2 linked regions of the Lepisosteus oculatus genome follow. Each later gene encodes a partner of the first gene's protein in a complex. Links are inferred from orthologs where the notes say so. Each region holds a gene or a part of one and is shown on either strand. Other genes may lie near its edges. The genes, in order: pak4 and itgb5.

Region 1 (7,302 bases):
TGATGCCCTCTCTCCCCTCCTGGAGCTGCCCTAGGTATCTTAATGTTATAACCTTTGACCTCTCGACATGAGGCCGGCCGTGTTCCAGGAAAGGAAGGAATGGATCCAAAGGGGAATGGCAGTCATGTCTAACTCAGCCACTCTCAACCAGCAGGCATGTGCCATCCGAAACCCAGATGCAAAACCAATTCAGAGCCAGACCTTCCACTTTGAGAGAAAAAGGAAGCTGAAGGAATTGCTACTGAAGATTATTAAAGCACATGTGACTCGCGTACTGGTCACTTTTATTTGACCACTATTTATTAGTGCACTAACCTCCTCCACTAACCTGAGAGTGCAGCGTGTTGCACTACTGACATTGCTATCCATGTGTTAACTGCCTTTTATGTGGGGAACAGTCACACGAATAACTAGAGAATAACAGAGTGTCTTGTTCCAGAGCGAAATATCCCTTTAGCCTTTATTTTTTTTATTTAGAAAACAAATGTTAAATATCGCCATCCGTCCATTTTCCAACTGCTTCTTCCGATTCACGGCCGCGGGAGAGCCGTGCCTATCCGGCCAAACAACGGGTGCAAAGGCGGGGTACCCCCTGGATGGGACACCAGTCGATCTCAGGCCAAACGCAGGGTTTTTTTTTTCCTCGCTAGAAGCCAATTAGCCTTCCAGAATGTTTTGGGATTGTGGGAGGAAACCGGAGCGCCCAGCATGAGGAGAACACGCCAGCATGAGGAGAACACGCCATCTCCACACAGGCAGCACCCCTGGTCCGGAAGTAAAGCTGGGACACCAGCAATGCAAACCACGGCGCCACCACGCTGTCCTGTTGAGTATCTGATCAGGAAAGTGCCCTTCAGAAAAAGGACAAAGAAGGTAATAATATTTACCTGTGTCTGGGACAACAGATGATTATTTAGAAGAAATTTTGGGGTAGAAGCAATTTAGACGTGAAGGACAGGTGTTTCAGGGAAGGGACATGTCAGGCGAGGAAGAGGATAAATAATGGCAAATGTGCTCATTGGGATTGCTGAACCCTCTGTCAATTTCTGCGCTGCTCCCTTGTTCATCAGTGATGCGGTTTTCTCGCTTTTACACGAAGTGATCAAATGAAACCTTTGAAGGTCAGCACTTAGCTTCACGGAGCGGCTTGACAGACAAACCTTAAACAACCCTGATCTCAAAACAACCTCACACACCCATATCTGTTTCCGCTGGCAGCTTTCTCCCAAAGAGTCTTATCAGTGAATTGTAAATCGTTATTGGGAACCAGCACGATGCAGACCGCACCGATCGATACCGTTAAATTACAAACAACAACAGCGACACTTTATTAAAATACCGGCGGTAGAATTACGATCCCAATCACTTATTAAAAAAAAAGCAGCAGTGTAATTGGAAGCACAGAAATTAAAAAGATAAACCCGAATGTAAGAGTCAACAGGTGGTCCATCACCAATGCGCCAAGAGCCTGCGATTTCATTTCTAAGAAATAAGGAAAGGCATTTCTGGGGGCGGCAGGTTTCTTCACAGGGAGGTGTCAAGTCCTGCACGTTACCAATATATCGCACATTTGCAGTCACATGATTTGCTGTGCCTCGGTTTCCCCTCTCCGCCTCACACCCTCATGTTCTCCCAACTTTCACAAGGGACGCCGCACACGACCACCCAGCCGGAGTGGACGGGGTGTCGGCGCCCCGCGGCACGATTACTCTGTATCAGCAGCGGCTACTGCGCCGCACGACAGTATTTATTACATACGATTTACACACACATATATATATACACACACAGTAGTCGTTTCTGCCGTAAGACGGGCACTAAATGCGCGCTGTGGTGTACGTGGAGATCAGCACTCGCCCAGGAGTATCACATGAACATTTCCCAAGTACAGCAGATGTCTTGATATGGTCCAATAATGGCTGCAAAAGGACTCGAAACACAGGACGGTATGTTGAATTGATCCAACATGAATCCGCTGCCGGAAAGTGGAGCAAACTGCATTTCTTCCCCGTATACTGCAGCTCATAATGATAAGTCACGCTGATAATAATCGTGTTTGGACTCGCGGAGTGTGCCATGCTGTAGGTCCACTTCAGAGAACTGCCCAACACATCGATCCAAACGCAGCCTGACCTGGACGAGTGACCACGACAGCCAGGTCTTGCGGTGTGCTCCGGTTTGATTTTTGTTTGTTTTGAAAACGATTGGGAAAAAAACAAACCACGACCGGACTTGCACAGATTTTCAGATACATTCCTAAATAGGTCAACGGTTTCGGTTTTCGCCGAAAGAAGGGCGAATAATCCACTAAAATTTAAAAACAAAACAACCTCCGATACTTGGACACGACCTAGCTCTTGAGCCACACCGCAAGTTTTCACAAATGACAAAGTAGAAACTGTAGATAGCCACGACTGAACTCCACTGACCCTTTCACAAAAGATACAAAAAATAATAAAATATAAAGCCAAACAATGTATGAAGTTTATATCGTTTCCTACCTGGGTGTTTCCTTGGTGTCTCCCGTTCTAAAGCAACTCCGAAAAACCCCAGCGAGTTTCTCTCTCTGCTGTTATTGATTATATCCTATTCCGTAGATCCCCAGCCGCGACCTCACTTTCTCGTCGCCATGTTGGGACAGGGATCGCAATATCCGGGACATTGGAGTCACTCCAGCTCCATAGCAACCAGCGTAGGAACTGAGCCCCTAGCAACCGCGGACTGACTGCTGGACAGTACAGGAGCCAGAGTCTCCGGACTTCAGTTTTGTCTCAGTAACGGACCCTTAAAATCGCCTCTGCCGCATTCGGTTTCGCTCCTTGTTATAGTCTAAATATAACATACTCTCCACCAGAAGCTGTTTTCCGAAGATGTAAAATGTAATTATGTCGCCGAAAGGGATTCGCCCTAAGATGATGAGATAGTTAATTGACAATATGTTAATTGCCTGCCAAGTCGATCGGATCTTTATCGTATTATGTTGGAGTCTAATGTGTGCAGTTTATGCTGCGGGCAAAAAAAACAACTGCAGGATTCCAGGAAAAAAAATATTTACCGCAAGATTGTGTGTGTCTGAATTAAATCAATCAGCTTTGCTGTTGTAAAGGGTACCTGCCTAAGGAGAAACTAAATCTTGAGAGCCGTGGGTGATAAAACTAACAAGTCTTCGTTAGAAAGCACGCCACCAGTAAGCAACGAATGAGCCTAACATGGACATAATAGTCATCATGTGACATCGGTAGAAGAGAAAAGGTCACGTTGGAGGAAAACCAGACCATACCTCAGAGTCTGGCTGTGTGTGTGTGTAGGGGTCTGTTCAGGATTCATTTAAAAGAAGATGGCTCTAAAATTACTTCATGTCTGAAACCTGCTGCACAATCGTGCTGAAAACATTGATCTGAGAATCAAATCGAGGCCAAATCGACAGCTCCAGACATTCACAGGGGTGGGGCTCATTTTAAATATCTAAGTGCTCCTGACTGCTAAGGTCATCGCACAATTCAGTGAATTACATGAATGGGCTTTTGTGTTCTGAGCCTAAAACATGTTTTCTTGAAGATGATATCCACACATCCTACATCTAACTGCTTTATCCAATACAGGGTGCCAGGGGAGCCAGAGACAATCCCTGCGATCAATGGGCACAAGGCAGGGCACACCCTGGGCAGGATGCCAGTCCATCAGAGGGCAGACACACACACAGACAACCCACACTTGCACCAGGGCCAATTTTACCAGAAGCCAGTTAACCTACTTAATTAAATTGGGGTTAAGATCTTACCATAACATCTTTGGACTGTGCACTGAACCAGAGAACCCAGCAGAAACCCATGCAAACACAGGTAGAACACACAACCCTAACCCCTAACCCCTCAAAGGGTTAAAAAGGGTTTTTCATTTGGTAGAAAAGCTAGTTTTTCATTGAGTGGGTGGTGTGATGTGTTCTCTTGCCAGGGGGATAAAATAAATGCAAATGATCTTTGAATGAATATTCGATGAATGTATTTAATATGCAACAGGATCTAGCATCGTCTGGAATGTGAATAGCTTGGAAACTAATATGCTTCCAACTTCAACCTATTTTATGTGAGGATGTGTGTTGCTAAGGATATGTATTCTGCAGAGAGTTTGTCACTTCTGTAGGAGTTCTCAGCTAGAAAATGGCAAGACAAAGTTCAATAATGCAGTGAAAGTGAAAAAGACATTTGCTCTGACTGCATCTGCTGAAAATGACAAGCAACACAACTGCAGGTTTTCAATATATCAGGTAACAGGAGATGGGAACAGCAGTAGTACGATACTGAAGGAGACGGATGTCAAAAATCGTTATTAATGGTAGCAGAAGCTCCTCTGTCTCGAAAATGACAACAAATCCAGGTGAAAACGCAATCAAATACCGAACGCTTAGTGTCACCCACCCAGATTAGGCTGGGGAAGGACATACTCAATGACAGGACGTTGTCCATAAACAGATTAGAACACACTTTCAAATTCAGTTTTCACATAAGGAAGTAAGAGGACGCTAAGTGGCCCATCTGGCCTGTTTGGGAGTTAGTAGCTAATTGATCCAAGGATCTCATCCAGTCATTGCTTGAAAGAAGCCAGGGGGTATCAGCCTCAACAGTATAGCTAGGTATCTTGTTTCATACTCCCACAACCCTTTGTATAAAGAAGGGCCTCCTGTTCTCAGTTTAAAATGCACGTCTATGTCATTGCATTGTGTCTCCTCTGGGTTGTGTCAAATTTGCTTGGAATGTAAAAAAAACCAACAACACTCATTTGGATCGAGAGATGCTGGTGAAACAAGAATATTGAAGGCGGGGTCCTCGGCTATACTGTTAATTTTCAGCTGTTTCAAATAGCTGAAGGGGTAATGGGATATACAAAAGGGAAAATAACTGGGCAAAGGCAAGAGAAAGGCTACTGCCTGCTGTACATGAGGAAATCAATACAGATGCATTCAGAACACAACCCCCAGGGCAGCCAGCGTGACTGCCTAACTATGGCAGTCTGAGGCTGTCATCTGTGAAATTACAGCTCAGCTCAATAAATAAAATGTTTTTTTCAGTTTATTTAACCCCCAACACTACAAACATATTAAAACATGCTCATATACCTGTTTTTAAAAAAGTATTTTCTTTGTTTCTTGGAAAATATCCTTGCTGGATAACTTAAAAACGAAATAAAATTCTATCTTATTTATAGTACCCAACATATGCATGCCAGATCTGTATGCATGCAAGTACAGCAGTCTGTGTACTGAATGCATTTTTGTGTTTAGGCTAAACAAAGTCAATGTTTCTTGTCTCCGTTTGATCTCCTGTCTTCAGAGGAGCACTGCAACTCTCCATGATGAAGATTGCTGACAAACAGTAACATCCCACCTGATACTGAACCACCATCATCATGCCCTTAATGTGGAAGAGCCCAACACTCAACAGCCACCTATCAAGAGACTGAAAACCATCAGACTCCCTTCCCTGAAGACTTAGGAACAACAAGAACTGAATTTCTTTAGTCTTGAAAAGAGAAGACTGTGAGGGAACCTGATTTAAGTGTTTAAAATCCTCAAAGTCACCAGTAAGGTTAACCCAGAGGATTTCTGTAGAGGGAACCTGAGGACACAAGGGAAACCTATATGTAAGTGAATTTAAAACAGAAAACAGGCGGCACTTCTTTACGCAAACAGTTGTGGAGGTATGGAGCAAGTTATCCAACCGTGGTGCTAAAGCCCAAAACCCGGCTTGCTTTCTTTGCATCTCTTTAAGGTCTTCAGAGCTTAGCAGAGATACACCAACTGTAGAATACATTTGGGAAAACATTGGTTTGAAACAGCTATTGTCATTTATGATGTCCACCAAACGAGAAGTGTTTTAAATGGTGAATTCAACACAATTTGAAAAGGGACCAGTTTATCCCACTGTATTCCAGGTGCAGTCGATGCCAGTGCAGCACTCTGTGGGGCAGAAAGCAGAGACGTCATCTTCTGTGAAAGACATGACAGTAAGAGCAGAGGTACGACCGTAGAGAAGCAGGGAGGAAAAAGACAAGCACCCCTAGAGATGCACACTGCTTGCACAACAGGAACTGCACTCAGTGGGTAAATGTCAGCATCGATCGGAGATTATGATCATGCATGCACTGCTACTTCCCTAGCCATTGTCAAAAAAAGCGGTAGACAAAGATGACGTGGGCTCCTAAGAGGCTCCATCAGTAAAGGCTGTGACAGAGTGCAAACTGAGGACCAAGGCCCTGACGTTTCATGTGTGAGCCGGGTCACTGCGGAAGCCAGCTCAGGGTTTCCCCGAAGGGTGGCAGGTTAGGGTGGGTGTGGCTCAGCCACGGTCCAGTCGACTCTGTGAACTGCAGGGCGTCTCCCTGAGAGAGGCACCTCTTCTCAGGCCTGGACTAGCTCTCCTGCTGGCACTGTGGAGCTCACAGCGTGCCAAATGGTGAATGCGTGTCAGAGAAAAAAAAGGGCACACGAATGAAATCGTAGAAAGAAGGCAGAGTCTCAATGCAACTGACAGTGCCAAACTGCCAGGATGTATAATCGACCTAGTCACACAGAGAGCTGCTTGCCTTGATGGGTCATAGGAAGCCAAAGACTATCCTGGAAGCACAGGGCAAATTTAGAAAAATCCATATCCATATGCCTGGAGGTGAGAAGACACCCAAACACCCAGAAGAAGACCATGTGAGCACTAGTGGAACATGCACACTCCACACAGACGCCACAGCAACCCAGGACCAGCCCCAGAGTCCAACAGCGGTGAGGCTGCAGTGCTAACTGCCTGCCACGCCACTGTGCGACCCAGGGCACGCAATAAAAGAAAAGGCTCATCTGCAATTCCAAAAAAAAAAAACTCCTTAAACAATCAGATCCTGCATGGGTTAACTGAGCACAACTGGTGGCCCTGCTGGGACCGCTGTGGGCTCCTGGTGTCGGCTGCTGGGGCTCAGCCGCGCCAGGGCGGGCACGGCGCTAAAGCCCTCGTCCGCCGGGGCTCCCCTGCAAGCCCGCCCTGCCTGGCGGCACGCGTCGCCATGGCAACCCCAGCGAAGCAACCTCTCCGCAGCCGCCTGAGATCGAGGAGAGAGGAGGAGGAGAAGGGGACAAAGGGAGAGGGATCGTTCCTTCTGCCGTTGTTGTTGTTTGTCGTGTCGTGAACCACAAAGGGAGGAGCAGCAGCTGGAGAGAGCCAGGGCAGGGGGGGGAGAAGGAGCCAGCCGGCACGTGGCGAGAGAGAGCAGAGAGCGATGTGCCTTCCAGGCTGCAGCGCTCAGATCGATTCGTGATCC
Region 2 (7,246 bases), on another chromosome or scaffold:
AGATGGCAGTCAGATGACTCAACGCCCACCTCCCTTCCCCAAGACGGTTTACAACCGCCATCATGACGACGAAGAAAACGATGATGACGATGATGGCAGTTATGCAGGAAAGATAAAAAATCAGAGTTTCCCTCAAGATCAGGGACGTATACTGTCTGGAAATGTTTACTCATTTCCAAAGGCATCTGTTCCCTCAAAACCAGGTGGCTCTCAGAATTTTGGTTACAAAGTAAGTTTTGTTTTTGAATTTGTATGGTACATTAGCCCTATTTTGTGGCTCTTCTGCAGTTTGCTTGGTGGCCTTTTTTTGGATATGAGCTGTTTAGGTAGGAAAAGAGTGGATAATAGTACCTACTGATGAAAAACATCATCAAACATTTAATATATTTTAAGCCATAAATTGGATGATCTATGTTTTTATTCTGAATACACATTATTCATTAATTCTTTGTGATCCTGGTTCTAAAATTTTAAGAGTGAGCCCTAGCAGGATGAATAATGAATCTGTAAAACAAAAATATTTTCTTAAGGATTCATTTTCCAACATTTTGGAAAATCAGTTTTGGACATGTTGGATGCCATTTTTAATTGGGAAAGTCTAGATTATTCTTTTCTTTCCTTGAAGCAGATGCACACCACTTCCAGGCTGATGTTTCTTTTGATTAACAAAAATATCTTCCTTTTCAGCCTGCTGGCAACCCCTACAACAGCAGTGCCAACGACCGTGACCCCTACAACAGCAGCGCCAACGACTGTAACCCCTACAACAGCAGTGCCAACGACTGTAAGCCCTACAACAGCAGCGCCAACGTCTGTAACCCCTACAACAGCAGTGCCAACGACTGTAAGCCCTACAACGGCAGGTCCAACGACCGTGACCCCTACAACAGCAGCGCCAATGACTGTGACCCCTACAACAGGACATCAACGAGGGGAGCTGCAGGGAATGGTTATGGCCATAGAGGATACAGAGCAGCTGTTCTGCATAGAGGGAAACCTCAGCTGTGATCAAAGATTAGATTTCTTCAACAGAATCACAAAAGAGAATTCTTCATTGAAACATGTTATGGAATATGAGTGATTCTGCTAGAATAATTCATTATATGAAACTACTGCCATAGACCTTGAGATGAAAAATTAGTCCTGAAGTATAAGCTTTTTCAAAGATGATTGGGTAAAGTGTTACAATCTGTTCTCTTTCTTGTTTCCATGTGAGTGTTCTGTAATTCAAGATAACAAGAAAAACAAAAAACGTTTTCTGTATGTGCAAAATGTAGTGATTGGGCAGCAACTTTGTACTAAGAGTATTATTTTATTATGGTAGCACAGCACAACTGAGAGCAAAGTGAAAAGAAATGCTCCACTGATTTATTTTATTGATCTAGCTCTAGTTTATTGCAATAATCGATACCGTCCGTAAAAAAATAGCTTCTCACAATGAGATGTTTGTTTGAGGTTAATACTAAACTACTTTCATAAAATGATATAAATAAAAATAATATCTATCTCACAGCATCTATATTTTAATGATTTCAATAATTATAAATATATTCCACATTTGTTATTTACAGTAGGTCAGAAGTGAAAGTGTTAATAAAATTAGGGGATTTTGTCATCTGTTATAACACTCCCTGTGAAGAGATGGCCATTCACCTGTTATCATTTGTCATTTCTTCTATGTGAGAAATTCCATTTGTTTGGCTCTTTCCATCCCAGATGTTCTCCAGCACTTTATATACGGTATAAGAAGGAGACCAGTTTTGTGCACCAGAGCTGCACCCATCTGAGTGGCACATGGCAGCCCTACTGCACAGCAGGACACATGGAGATGTGAGAAATTACTCCACTTGAATGGAGGGATTTACTAGGATGGCCAGAACATTCCAGCTCGAGGCAGAATTTAGCCAGAACACTGGAATTAATGCGTATGGGGTCATGGGATTGATAATGACAAAGTAGTCAGCACCTCAGTCTACTGTCTCACCTACAGGATGTCAGCTTCTACAGCACAGTGTCCCCAGTTGCCTTTCTGGCGCCACCTACTGGTCCACCACCATGACTGGTGACTCGCGTATTATTGTAATCTTAAACTTTCTTCAGAGGAGGGCTATTTCAAATCACCCCTTTCACTTCATTCAATCTTTAGGACGGCATCGCTACTTTGATCCAGCAAAACATGAGTCTGGACGATCCACATGCCAAGTATCTTAATAACCGGTGTTCCCTAGAGGTTTGGCCAATTTTAAACATCATCCCTGATGTGCAGCAGGCAGGAGGACCCCTGGCCTACTGCGTGACAGTTCCTAGCTAACAGAGGAAGCAGACTTGTAAAGCACAGCCTGTCTTTCTGACACTTCATGTAGTGGTCCAGAGCTCCAGAAACAGGTGAACCACAACCATCTGTGAACACCCACGCTCGCTGACTGGTGATCATTGGCTGGTGGGGAAGCCTGTTTTTAACCAGTTGTCCCTGCTAAAGGACCAACAATGCCAACTGAAAGCACATCAATAATATATGGCTATTAAAGAAAAGTGATGCTGCTTGAAAAGATATCGTAACACAACGGGGTTCAGGCGGGTGCCCTTGGCGTATCAGGTTGGCCCTGCACCGTCAGGGGCTCGAACCCAGGACTCCTGCGTCACTCAACAGGGACCCAGCCCGGTGAGCCAAAGAGAGAGATCTCTCTACAGCCCAGGGGCTGTGGTCCTGCTATTACTGGTAAGCCGGCTCTTACACAGTACCTGTCGGCCATATGCGTTACAATATGATAAACAACAAACCAGGGTGACAGGTCAGTCAGTCTACTGTATGAAGTCATGAAGGAAAGCTGGTTGTTGGTTTTGCACACTGCTAACATTTCACCCTCCTTTCTGGGGATCACCTGAACACGTTGAGAAGCTTACAGGTGTCCCTGAATACTCCCGGTGGAAACCACAGCTCTGCAAGATGAAATGGTGACTGTTTCTGCCTGTACTGTCTGTACACTGTAGTCAGTCTTGAAGTTCGAGCGGGTAGGGAATGAGTTGGAAAATCAGGCCAACACCCTAGGCCCAAACAGGATCAAAACCAGGACTGACCCCGCCAGCAACGTGCTGAGCGCAATTTAATCAGCCCCCATCACAGGCAGGGTGAGGCACACTGCACAGCCCGCCAGGAAAATTCAAGTTTTTAATTTCATACTCTTCTATCCCACTAGGCGGCGCTGACATCCAAGTATTCAGGAGAGATGAGTCTTGCCAACTCAGCAGACAACTCTGGACTTTCCGCTGGTAAAATGGACATCTTAAAATATCATCTTGAATTCATTTTTTTGTTTTTAAATATTTCTACTATTTCAGCATTTTTCTCTTTGTTTAATTTTCTAAAATACAATACAGGGCTTTTCATACCCTCGGGCTTCAAAAGCAAATTTGATGCCAAAACAAGAAGGTTCGCTTGATATTAATATTCACGTAACGAGCGTATTGCCTGTACATTGTTTTTAAGGTTTTACTGAATTCTGAAGAAAACGTAACATAAAATTTAAATTATTTAAATTGAATTCTATATACTGCTTTTCTAAAAGGCTCTGTACAGCTCTGGTCTGAAGGATTTCAAACGCATTTTATAGCCGAAAAATATTGTCAGACTTGTTTATGATTAACATCCTTGCTGTCCCTAATCCAGCTCATTCACAAACTCGCAAGCGCTGTGATTACAATGTACATAACTCAACACGCAGGCAAGTGTGTACGGAATTGAACAGGTGGTAACCCAATTAACACGAGTCACCTGACTGCCGGAGGTGCCGCTTTTTAAAGAAACATTTCTATTTATCGACAAAATCCGGATTTAAGTAGAACGAAACGAGCTACAATGTCCGAAATAAGCTTAAACCTAAAAAAAAAACCGATATACATCAGAACAAAGAAGTCCAAACAAACGAGAAACAACGACCCTGGTATTTGTCTAAATAAGTAATGATATCCGTACTTAGGTGCAGCTATTTCGAGTGAAAATAAATTACAGTTTGCGAGTCCGCCTTTAAGCAGAAAGAGTGTATGATTTTTTTAAACGTAAAAAAACCCCGTCACCGAAACCAGTTGTAGCGCAAGGGGAACGCTAGAAATGCGAATGCGTGCTTCTGAGGTTTCTGAAGTGTGCTCTCGAAGATAGGGTTAACCGCAGCCCCAGCCCCCAGCCTCTGATGGGCGGAGATTTTGGATACACCGACAGTGCGCTTTTTCGTAGAAAACTTCCAGGAGAGGAAAAAAGAGAGAAGCGGGGGATGTATCCCACTTTTAGAAAACAACAATAATAATATCACAACTAGGGGAATTATACTGCCTGTTTATTTTTAGTACAGAAGAAACGAAACATGGAGAAAAAATATCGGAACTGGAGGCGCGTTGTGCGCTTTTAAGGAGAACCAACACTAGTGTTTGGAGCGGAGAGATATTCGTAATGAGAGTGGAAAACCTTGTTTAGCCGGCAGCTCCTGCCCCAGAGGTTGTTTCTTTGATGACACAACGATTTGTAACCTTTGTTTTCAAAACAAAGGTTGGCGTTATGATTTCTCGTCGCTTGGCCGGGGCAGAGGCGAACTCCGACAAAGTGGACTTATTCCCCCTTTTTGAAAGCTAATCTGCAGAATGTGGATTTGATGAGGACATTTTGACGAGTTGGAGGTCTGCGCTAGCCAGCACTTCGCAGCTGCAGGGTTTGGATAACTTCAGTTTACACAATCCTAAGAAATCATGTTGAGGAGAAGGCTCTTAATTTACTCTGTAATTAGCTGTTTGGTTTTGGAAGTTCTGATCGGCGGAGTTAAAGGTAAGAGTTTTTTTAATGCAATTTTTGGTGACTGTGTGTCGTGTTTGTGTAGGCAATTTGTTTTCCTGTGTGCTGGAACGAATTCAATTTTCTTCGAGAGGAAATAACATCCTTTAATTACTTTGTTGCATGTATTGTTAGGGGTTACTCTTAGCTTACTCTTTTGTCATACTTAAACGCTTTATACAGACTTTCACTAAAATTATTTTATCGCTGGTCGAAACCTTGTTTTTCTTTTTGCACCTGCGCTTTTCTGTTTTTTTTTTTTATATCGTTATTTATTAGCTGGTATTAACATCACCCCCTCGTTTAACTAAGGCTCTAAGGCCGTTCTTGGTGATGTGCGCTAATGGGTGTCGAAACGGGACGGGGTACAAGGAGACTCGACTGTGGTCGCGAGAAAGTGCTGTGTATTTTTATACAGTATGTGTTAGATAACCGCTTTTCTCATTTCTATGGAAGGTCTCAATATTTGCGCCGGAGGAAGCGCTACCTCCTGTGAAGAATGCCTGCTCATCCATCCTAGCTGTGCCTGGTGCGCTCAGGAGGTATCTGTGTAAATCTCTCTTACGCGTAGTGCAAAAAAAAAATGTTGCCAAGTTATTTCACTTTATTGTTGATCCAAGAGGGTGACAATTTGTCTTTGGTGTCACCATTAGAACTACAAAAAAAACATAACACTCGACTTCAAACAAATGTACCTTTAAAACAAACAGTAGTCCTCGCCATTCAACCATACACACAGTATACACATTTTGCTCTGCCCATAATACACGGTGATTAAATTAATCCGATAGCTTCACTCAGGGAGTAATCACTCAGCTGCGTTTTAAAATACCGGTTGCACAGGAAACAAAATATTTATTTTAGGCATTTTTTTCTAGGAGAAAATATTTCTTGTACATATTTCTCATACGTCAGTCTGCAAACGCGTATAATTACTGGCAAAGTTCTGTCAATTTGGATATTTTGTTTTGAATCGGTCCTGTTCACGTTCATTTAGACCGATGCCCTGACGTGAAAGTATATTTTTGAATAATGCTACTCGAGTTAAATATATTTCTGTACTGTGTTCTTGTGGATATTTCAGACCCGTGTTCCAGTTTTACGTAGTGGTTTTGATATTATCTTGACCCAACTTATTCACCCTAGGAAACTCTTCTACGGAAGCCGCAGGCGGCGGTGAAACACGTGGTATTGGTGTTTCCCGCTTGTTGCTTGTTGCTCGTTGCTTGTTGCTTGTTGCTTGTTGCTGTTGTTCGGGGTACCTTTCATGTTAACTTGTGAAGTGCGCCTGTGAGCCTGGACTATGCAGAGCCTGTGCAGCAGTAGTCGTTCTCTGCTGACAGATATCTCAGTATTAAGTTAGTGAAATTCCTTAAATAAATTATTTCACATATTTGAAGTAGTAGGCATCACTCGAAGAGCGATGGCTTGTGTGCAGTTAGTTTATCAGTTTTCTCGTGCCCACCAGTCTTCTTCCGCAAGAAGAAGCTAATAGCTAACTGTCCCAAACGTTTTTGTTTCTGCTTTATAAAGCACCTGAAATCTCAATTAAGCAGTTCAGGAAATGGTGGAAGCAACTATTTATGCCGAAAAATACTTTTGTTTTATTTAATACAGTGTACAAATAAACTGGAAAATACCAGTAATTTCAGGAATGGGTTTGTGAACTATTTCTGTTGCAGAATGGTAAACGCATTTCTCCATGTTGTGACTGCTACGCGCTTACTTTCAATTAAAACATTCAAAGGGTCCCAGTGCTATCATGACAAAAAAAATAAACACAAAGTGTCGCTGGCTTTTTGTCTGCAGAGACAATATCCTTGTACGTGGAGATTCAAGAGAACGGGGGTGATTCACAGTTGAGCTGTGCCTCAGTGCTGCACTTTCCTCAAGGGCCCCCCATGAGCTTTCCAGTCTCTCTCCGTCGGCCTGGTCACTGTCCCTGTTGCGTCTCTTATCACAGCACCCGGTCGGCGCAGGGCTGCTACCCTCCTGGTGTCGTCTTTCTCGACAGGAATTCGGGAGGGCGATGACGGTCGCGTCCCGCTGCGACTTCAGCCAGAACCTGCTGGGGAGGGGCTGCGGGAGGGGCTTCATCGAGAGTCCCAGGAGCAGCATGATGGTCCTGCAGAACAAGCCCTTAAGTTCCAAAGGCTCCGGACCCACCCAGTATGATGTCATTCAGATAATGCCGCAGAAGATAGCCCTGAACCTGCGGCCTGGTAAGACGCCGGGCCCGGGCCTGCCTGTGTCTTTTTCAGCTTTCAAAGGCTGCTATTAGTGACTCAGTCACTCATGATAAACTGAAACGAAGAATAAAGACGCGGTGTGCTGAGACACCCTTGGCAAAAATCTCAGCGAAGAGGGTGGTTAATCCAGGATCTCATCCAGCTGTTTCTTGAAGAAAGCCAGGGTCTCGGCTGTAGG

The links.
Region 2: the proteins of pak4 (region 1) and itgb5 are in contact, whole or in part, in a crystal structure (PDB 7S46), measured with the Homo sapiens proteins. The link is inferred for Lepisosteus oculatus from reciprocal best matches to the Homo sapiens genes PAK4 and ITGB5. Residues at the interface, in NP_001014831.1 of Homo sapiens: Gly330, Ser331, Gln358, Arg359, Leu362, Thr404, Lys442, Ser443, Asp444, Asp458, Phe461, Leu475, Val476, Gly477, Thr478, Pro479, Tyr480, Trp481, Met482, Glu507, Glu512, Phe516, Asn517, Glu518, Pro519, Pro520, Met524; in NP_002204.2 of Homo sapiens: Ser762, Arg763, Ala764, Arg765, Tyr766, Glu767, Met768, Ala769, Ser770.

Annotation. Positions count from the first base shown.
Region 1 is NC_090698.1:5,422,475-5,429,776, reverse strand, and holds the start of pak4 (serine/threonine-protein kinase PAK 4), read right to left. Parts: upstream 3,120-7,302; 5' UTR 2,502-3,119; intron 1-2,501. UniProt on the Homo sapiens protein: Serine/threonine-protein kinase that plays a role in a variety of different signaling pathways including cytoskeleton regulation, cell adhesion turnover, cell migration, growth, proliferation or cell survival.
Region 2 is NC_090707.1:5,076,698-5,083,943, reverse strand, and holds the start of itgb5 (integrin beta-5), read left to right. Parts: upstream 1-4,201; 5' UTR 4,202-4,737; coding exon 4,738-4,813; intron 4,814-5,275; coding exon 5,276-5,361; intron 5,362-6,833; coding exon 6,834-7,041; intron 7,042-7,246. Other genes in the region: uncharacterized protein, read left to right, coding at 1-229, 688-1,008.